2 linked regions of the Daphnia pulex genome follow. The protein of the gene in region 1 binds, or shares a complex with, the protein of each later gene. Links are inferred from orthologs where the notes say so. Each region holds a gene or a part of one and is shown in the gene's direction. Other genes may lie near its edges.

The links. Proteins that work in one complex are often made in the same cells at the same time.
Region 2: AF4/FMR2 family member lilli-like (region 1) and cyclin-T2-like share a complex: the UniProt entries of both Drosophila melanogaster proteins name them as parts of the super elongation complex. The link is inferred for Daphnia pulex from reciprocal best matches to the Drosophila melanogaster genes lilli and CycT.

What each region holds. Positions count from the first base shown.
Region 1 is NC_060024.1:9,152,807-9,156,206, forward strand, and holds part of AF4/FMR2 family member lilli-like, read left to right. Parts: coding exon 1-838; intron 839-974; coding exon 975-3,095; intron 3,096-3,178; coding exon 3,179-3,400. UniProt on the Drosophila melanogaster protein: Has a role in transcriptional regulation. Acts in parallel with the Ras/MAPK and the PI3K/PKB pathways in the control of cell identity and cellular growth.
Region 2 is NC_060024.1:8,843,154-8,846,909, forward strand, and holds the start of cyclin-T2-like, read left to right. Parts: upstream 1-1,564; 5' UTR 1,565-2,151; coding exon 2,152-2,303; intron 2,304-2,483; coding exon 2,484-2,694; intron 2,695-2,770; coding exon 2,771-2,897; intron 2,898-2,971; coding exon 2,972-3,023; intron 3,024-3,093; coding exon 3,094-3,184; intron 3,185-3,258; coding exon 3,259-3,550; intron 3,551-3,609; coding exon 3,610-3,756. Other genes in the region: KAT8 regulatory NSL complex subunit 1-like, read left to right, coding at 58-447. UniProt on the Drosophila melanogaster protein: Regulatory subunit of the cyclin-dependent kinase pair (CDK9/cyclin T) complex, also called positive transcription elongation factor B (P-TEFb), which is proposed to facilitate the transition from abortive to production elongation by phosphorylating the CTD (carboxy-terminal domain) of the large subunit of RNA polymerase II (RNAP II).

The sequences.
Region 1 (3,400 bases):
GGGTCAGGGCCACTCTCACCAACGGCTCCCTTCATCGGGCGGCAGTCTAATGAAGCCTCCGTCTCATGCTGCACCGCATATCGCTCCTCAAAGGAATTCGGCTCCGCCGAGCCGATCCAGCAGCAGTAGTAGTAATAGTACGGGTCTACACAAGGCTCCCGGACCAGGGCCTGGTGGAGGATATCACAGCGGTGCATCATCATCGTCGTCGTCGTCATCATCTTCGTCTTCGTCCTCATCGTCATCATCCTCGTCCATGTCTACCTCCTCATCGCAGAGGCAGCGTCAGCCAACTAACAACATGCGGCCTCAACCACCAAAGTTGAACTTCATCAATCCTCTCCCTCCATCCTCAACACCGGAAAGGATTGGTCATCCAGATATCCACGACATCCTCAAAGAGATGAAATCGGCAGCTATGACGCCGCTAACGGCCATCGCTGCCACTCCGCGGAAGGAAGTGGAGCACTTTGATTTCGGTCATCCTCATCCACCTCCGAAGCGGATGCCTTCCAACAGCGGGCTGATGGATGATTTAAGCATCTCAGACAGCGACCAGGACTCTGAGTCGGAATCCTCCATCAAGATCTCGGCCGCCGCCACCACCTCTACTGCCCCAGTTCTTAGCCCACTGCCTTCCAGTCCCATGGAACCGATGAACAGTCCGCCAAGGCCTCGTTCGCCACCTTCTGGTCTTGCTACAGCCGCTGCTAGTGAGGCTGATGACTCAGAAGATGATTCTAGCTCAGAATCGGACGGTTCCAGCTCGGATTCCAGCTCTGACGCTGAGCACTTGGAGCCGGAGACGAAACCTCCGCCTGCATCTCCTCCTAAACAGGTAAAACAGGTTTTATAATGCGGTGACCAGGAACTTTGCCATTGCGTGACCCACCGACCGATCAACCAACAAGATCGATATTGATCTAGCAGGATGCCACATGTTTTATTTACATATTTTTCTTTTCCTTATCCAGCAGCAGCAACAGCAGCCGGCCAATACTCCAAGTTGGAGTCTAAAGTCGTTTCTGCCAATCAATCCACCCAGCAGTATATTTGAGGGCGCTACTAGAGGTTCGGACGTCTCTCAATCAGGCCTTGATCAAATCTCCTCGGATCGCAGAGATACACTGGGCGACTCTCTTCGTCGTCCGGATGATGACGACGACGATTTCTTTGGCAGTTCAGCTGGCCTTAGATTTGACAGTCCCAATCCTTCGTCTGAACTGGACGATGGCCTCTTCAAAGGGGACAAGAGCGCGGCAACATCGTCCATCGCTAAAGCGACTTCAGATAGTGACTCCGAGCAGCCGGACCTCAATTCTGCCTTGTCGAAAATGATCGTGCCCGAACCTCTGTTGTCGGAAATGTCCGACTCGGAGGATCACGTCACGCCCAGGCCTAACTTGCCTTCGTCTGCTTCCAAAGCCTCCGCCAATCGAAGAGTGAAACAGCCTCAAAATTCTGCCAAAGTGAACTTGAATCGGTTATCTGAATCGGAGAGTAGTAGCAGTGAAGATGAGCGCCCGGTGCCGGAAGTGCGGCCACGACAGCCAGTAGTGGTAGCCGCTCCACCACCAGCACCGCCACCAGCTCCAGCAGCGCCAACAGAGGCTATTCCCAAACGGAGAGGTCCTGGCCGCCCTCCTAAGAAGCAAGTCAACTCATCCGCACCTCCTTCTGGTAAAGAAGTTTCCAAACGGCCAGGCCGACCACCAAAGAAACAAGCGAGTAGCTTGCAGGCACCGATATCACGTGAAATTCTCGACACGACAACATCTTCGGTGAGCAGTTCGTCATCGCCATCCAACAGTGAAGTGGATGTGGAGAACACGCCGTCACCTCTGAAGGCGAGGAAGCCCAGCCTTTCTGTGACGGTCACGCCACCGACAACTCCGCGCAAAACCAATACCCACTCTCAAAGTCCATCTAAATTGGCCGCCGTTGTCAAGATGCCGACTCCACCGGAAACGGTGACCAGCCGAGTCCTTTTTCCATCTCGCAGCCGGAGCCGGAGTAGCAGCAGCTCTAGCAGCAGTCGAAGCAGCAGTTCCAGCAGCTCTAGCAGCAGTTCGAGCAGCAGCAGCAGCAGTAGCGGGCGGTCAATACCTAGTGGAGGTGGCAAGGGCCAACCGAGAGGACCGAGAGAGGAAGAATTGCAAAAGGATTTCAGTCCACCCAAACTGGACATGGACTCGAAGCCCAGCTCTGATCGCAAGTGTGCTTTATTTATGAAAATCTATCGTCCCGGAGCTAAAGGAAGGCAGGATCGTGCAGTCGCTCCCGAGGCAGCGACAACTCCCAGTAGTAACAGCAGCAGAGGCGTCAAAGGTAAACAGGAGCCCAAGAAAGTTGCTAGCGAGGTGGTGACAGCCAGCCCGAAAGCGGTTGCGGCACCTCCTCCACCACCACCTGCTAAAGTTGGCCCATCCGTCCCATACGTCAACGGCCGGCCTAGTTTGATCTGCCAAGTACCTCTATGCAAATTGGCTAATAATGCTGTTCCTGCTCCTGCTGCTCCTATCCCTGCGGCTCGTCCTACTACGCAGGAGAAGAATGCGGAGCGACCTGTGGAGACCAAAACCCGAACGCCAGTGCCTATTAAACGTGAGGCGGAATTGTCGGCGTCGAAATCTTCCAAACGTCGATCAAGCATCAGTTCAACTTCGTCCGTCTCAGTCGTGCCGCCGGTGGAAACGCCGTCACATCGTAAGGAGAGCAAACGGAAACGGAAGAACGAGGTGGAGGAATCAATCGAGACTCAAACGGGCAAGGCTCAAAAGAAGAAGAGTAGGCGGAAAATCGACGTTGAAGTAAAGGAGGAGGACGAGGCTGGCCCTCTCGCTCCGGTCGTTCCTACACCCACACACATTCCGTCCGTTGATGTCAAGTCTTGTCTGTCTCCTTACGATCCGAGAAATGCATCACCAGCTCCTCCGCCCATGATGCGCAGCCAACAACAAACGCAGCCGGGAACCAGCATTGTGTATTTCAGTTATTTTGAGGAACCACCAGCACATCAATTGGAACACGAAGATCGTGATCATAATCATTTCTTAAGCGAAGCTAAAGCTCTCAAGCACGCGGCTGACAAGCAGGTAATATTCCATCATTTCCTTGATTCCCCTCATTTTCCATTGGTCATTTGCTCATATCGCCGTTTTCTTTTGTCATTCGACAGCAAACGGACCGGACCCTCCAAGCAGTACAATATTTGGAAGCAGTGTTGTTTTTTATCCTGACGGGCAATGCCATGGAGCATGACCGGATGACGGAGAAAGCAGCTTTTACCATGTACAAGGACACGCTCAATCTGATCCGCTATATCTCGTCCAAATTTCGGCATCAACCACAAGCCGGCACCCAGTCGGCCAACATTGACGCCAAGCTCCAAATCTTGTCG
Region 2 (3,756 bases), about 310 kb from region 1:
TCACGCAGCGATGACAAATGCTTTTATCTAAAATGTTGTTTTCTTCTCTCCTATCAGCAGTTTTACACAGTGGCTCCTTACGAACCTCGCCTCTTCCCTCTACCGGACAGCGTTTTCGAGCAGCTGGTTGAGGAGATGCCCCCGGAGGAAGACGATGAGTTGGCATCTTCGGAAGGGGCGGTCCAACGTGCAGGCAAACGAGAAGCTCGATCATCGGAATGTGGCGGGGTTGCTGCCGGCGGTGTTGGAGGAGGAGTGCCGGTCGTTATACCTTCAGGAGCCACACCGACGACCACGACGTCTTCTGTGGACGACGAAGCTGTTACTTTTGTCTCTGAATCGACGAGCTCACCTGGCGCCGACGATCTGGACGTCGACGACGAGGATCCCAACGATCCCGAATGGGAAGGAAGCCAGGGTAGCGCTCCCAGGAGCAAGAAAAGATAACCAACATCGTCACTCTCCAAAACAACAAATTTCGTAGAAGCGAATTGCTAATTCCCCCCCAATATAAATTCCCTTCTTTCACAGAACTACGTAGTATGTCGTAAACAAGCAAAAACAAAAACAAAAAAATAGTTAACTTCCTTAATCGTAGTAACAAGATGGCGGTTGATTTAATTTTTTTTTTTTTAGCTCTTCGAGTACATACACGGAAGAAAAAGACTGAGTATGTGTGATAGAATTTATACATAGAAAGAATGAGAGAGAGAAAGAAAGTAAAAGGTCATTGTAACGTGATTCACAATATTTGCTGTAAATAGTCGCGCAAGGAATTGAAAAAACAAACAAAAAAAATGGATGATTATGTTTGGTTGTCTTGTCACACCGATCTGTTGGCGCAACCTTTATCCGTTTACTCCTCCCCCAAATGTGTGTTTTTTTTTATGATTATTATTTTTTTTTGTTTCCCGTGCTATATAATTGTCAAAGTCACACATCCAATTCTGTTTCCATGTTTACACCTGCTCCCCCTTTTTATTATCTTTTTTTTTCCTCCAAAAACAACAACACAAAAAAAACAGAATTTCGGATCGAATTGCGGGAAAGAAAAGAGTAACAATTAATTCTGGGGCTCTTTCTGCATGGGTTCTTTTGTCACTTAGTTTCAACTCTTTATATCGTTCGAAATTATGAACAGGGAGAGGACAAACGACTCCCGTCGAACAACTGATTATAAATATTTAACCAAGTTCATATTTTTTTTTTCCCCTTCTTATGTGGATTGAATTTCTTTCATGCTGTTCTTTTCCGTCTTGGTCCACGTCTCCTCATCAATGTATAAATATCATACTATTTCTCTCTCGTTTCTCCTCCTCCCCACTCTTGGCATTCATGTTTTTTTTTTCTTCCTGAAAAAACTACAACAAAAAAAATACAGTTCTCCCAGAATGTTCACACACATACGCAGTGTAGATAAAAGATAAAGAACTGTTTAAAGTTTATTTATTTAAGACGACGTAAAATTATGTAAGAGAGAGAGAAAAAAAGACGTATGGCGACGTTGTCTTGATGGGAAAAAACGTGTCTAGTTTTGGAAGGCTCTTGGAAATGAGGGCAATGAACGTGTGCCGAGTCTTCAGGGACATTGGTGAATGAAAGGCATCCACATGAATGTGGATGTACCGGAAATCAGTTTTGTAGAGTGTTGGAAAAGATGACAGGATAAAAATCTACTGTCACTTAAAGGGGTAAACGAATTAAATTGGGGGTAGGGTCATTGAGTACGTGAGCTTTTTCTTTTCCGGATAGCCTCGAATAGTGCGTGACAGCCTCCAACTGTTACATCATTTTTTGGTAGCCTTCAAGCCCCAGAGTATAGTACGTAACGGTCTGCAGAGTCAGCGCCATCGCAGAAGACGTGGGTAAAATACGCGGGACGTTTTGAGGGCACTGTCGATAGTTCTTACTCTGCAATTTTCCTACACATCTGGCACAATTGAGTGGTAAATGAGTTCAAGGAGAGCTATGCGGAATTGGAGTTATCATGTTTACGTGTTTGTGCAGTGTTATTTTGCATCGTTTCGCCATTCCGAGTAACCTAATAGGAGTGCGTCGACAAGGGTGGACTCTAGCGGCTGGCGGGAAAAGCTTTTAGCGTGGTGCCGATAGCGGTCGTTTTCGAGGTCTAGAAAATAGTGTGTATAAAATATGGCTGCCTCGATGGAGGGTAAGTGGGTTTTTACAAAAGAACAATTACAAAATACTCCTTCCCGAAGATGCAACATCGACTACGACAAGGAAATCTTTTACCGGCAACAGGCGGCAACATTAATTCAAGAAATGGGTCAAAGATTACAAGTGTAAGTGTTTCAAGTCGGAAGTTGTTCTCTTCGCACCCCGAACACATTCTTACGTTATCACACATTGGTCGTATTTTGGATTTTAACCATAATGATGCGTGCTTGAACATTTCTGACATCGATTTATCGCTTGCAACAAAAGGTATGGAGTCAAATCACACTGGTTTCTCTGTTTTTTAGGACACAACTGTGCATCAACACAGCCATCGTCTATGTGCACCGGTTCTACATGTTCCATTCCTTCAACAAGTTCCATCGAAATCCAATCTCTTCCTGTGCTCTCTTCCTAGCCGCCAAAGTTGAGGAACAGCCCAGAAAGTTGGAACATGTCATTAGGGTTGCACACATGATTCTCTACAAGGATCAGCGAAACTTGGACATCAACTCTGAGGTATCAAATTCTCATACAAACCATTGTACATTCAAACATCATATTCATTCATTGTTTTGTTTACGTTATCTTCCAGCAATACATTGAACAAGCTCAAGAGCTGATAAACAATGAAAATATCCTTCTCCAGACTCTTGGCTTTGATGTCGCCATTGACCACCCTCACACACAAGTGCTCAAGTGTTGTCAGCATCTATTTAGAGGTAGGTTTTTTCGCTCAAGCTCAAAAGCCCTAGTCGCTTAACTGTAATGTCATTCTTTGGCTTTCGTTTCTTAGCATCTTCAAGCAAGGACATGGCTCAGACCTCCTACTTCATGGCCACTAATAGGTAACTATAATTTTGTAAATGCCCAACTTGTGTTGTTCCTGGAGTAACTAGAGGTGTCATGTTGTGGTAGTTTGCACCTGACCACCATGTGCCTCCAGTACAAGCCCACTGTAGTGGCCTGTGTTTGCATCCACCTGGTGTGCAAATGGTTCAACTTTGAGGTAATAACAAAATTGCACAATTCAAAATGTTATCTAACTGCCTCGTTAACAACTCTTACAATTGAACACCGTAGATCCCACAGAGTGCCGAGGGTAAAGATTGGTTTACGTACGTTGACAAAACGGTGACGTTAGAAATGTTGGACGAATTGACCGTTGAATTTCTGGCGATTTTCAATAAATGCCCGTCGAGACTGCGGAAACGAGTGATGCAACAACCTGGAGTCAATGCTTCTGCCATGACATCGTCGGACAAGAGTGCATCCGGTAGTAGTAGCAAAGACGCGTCATCAAGCCATCCAGATGCTCACAAGGTCAGGAATGAATCTTCCGGAAGCAGCAGCGGAAGCGCTGCTCCCAAACCAGGTAACGATTGAAAAGTTAAATTGGTTGAGATAAATGCTTGATTTGAGCATGTGTTACAGGCGAGAGAGTTCCTCGGCCACATGACCAAAGAAGAGACAAGACTGGCGCCCTCGTCCCTCCTTCTAGTTCGACGGCCAGCGTTCCTGCTGGCCACCGTCCATCTTCGAACAGTGGTCATCCTCCTTCACATTCGAATCGACCTCCGG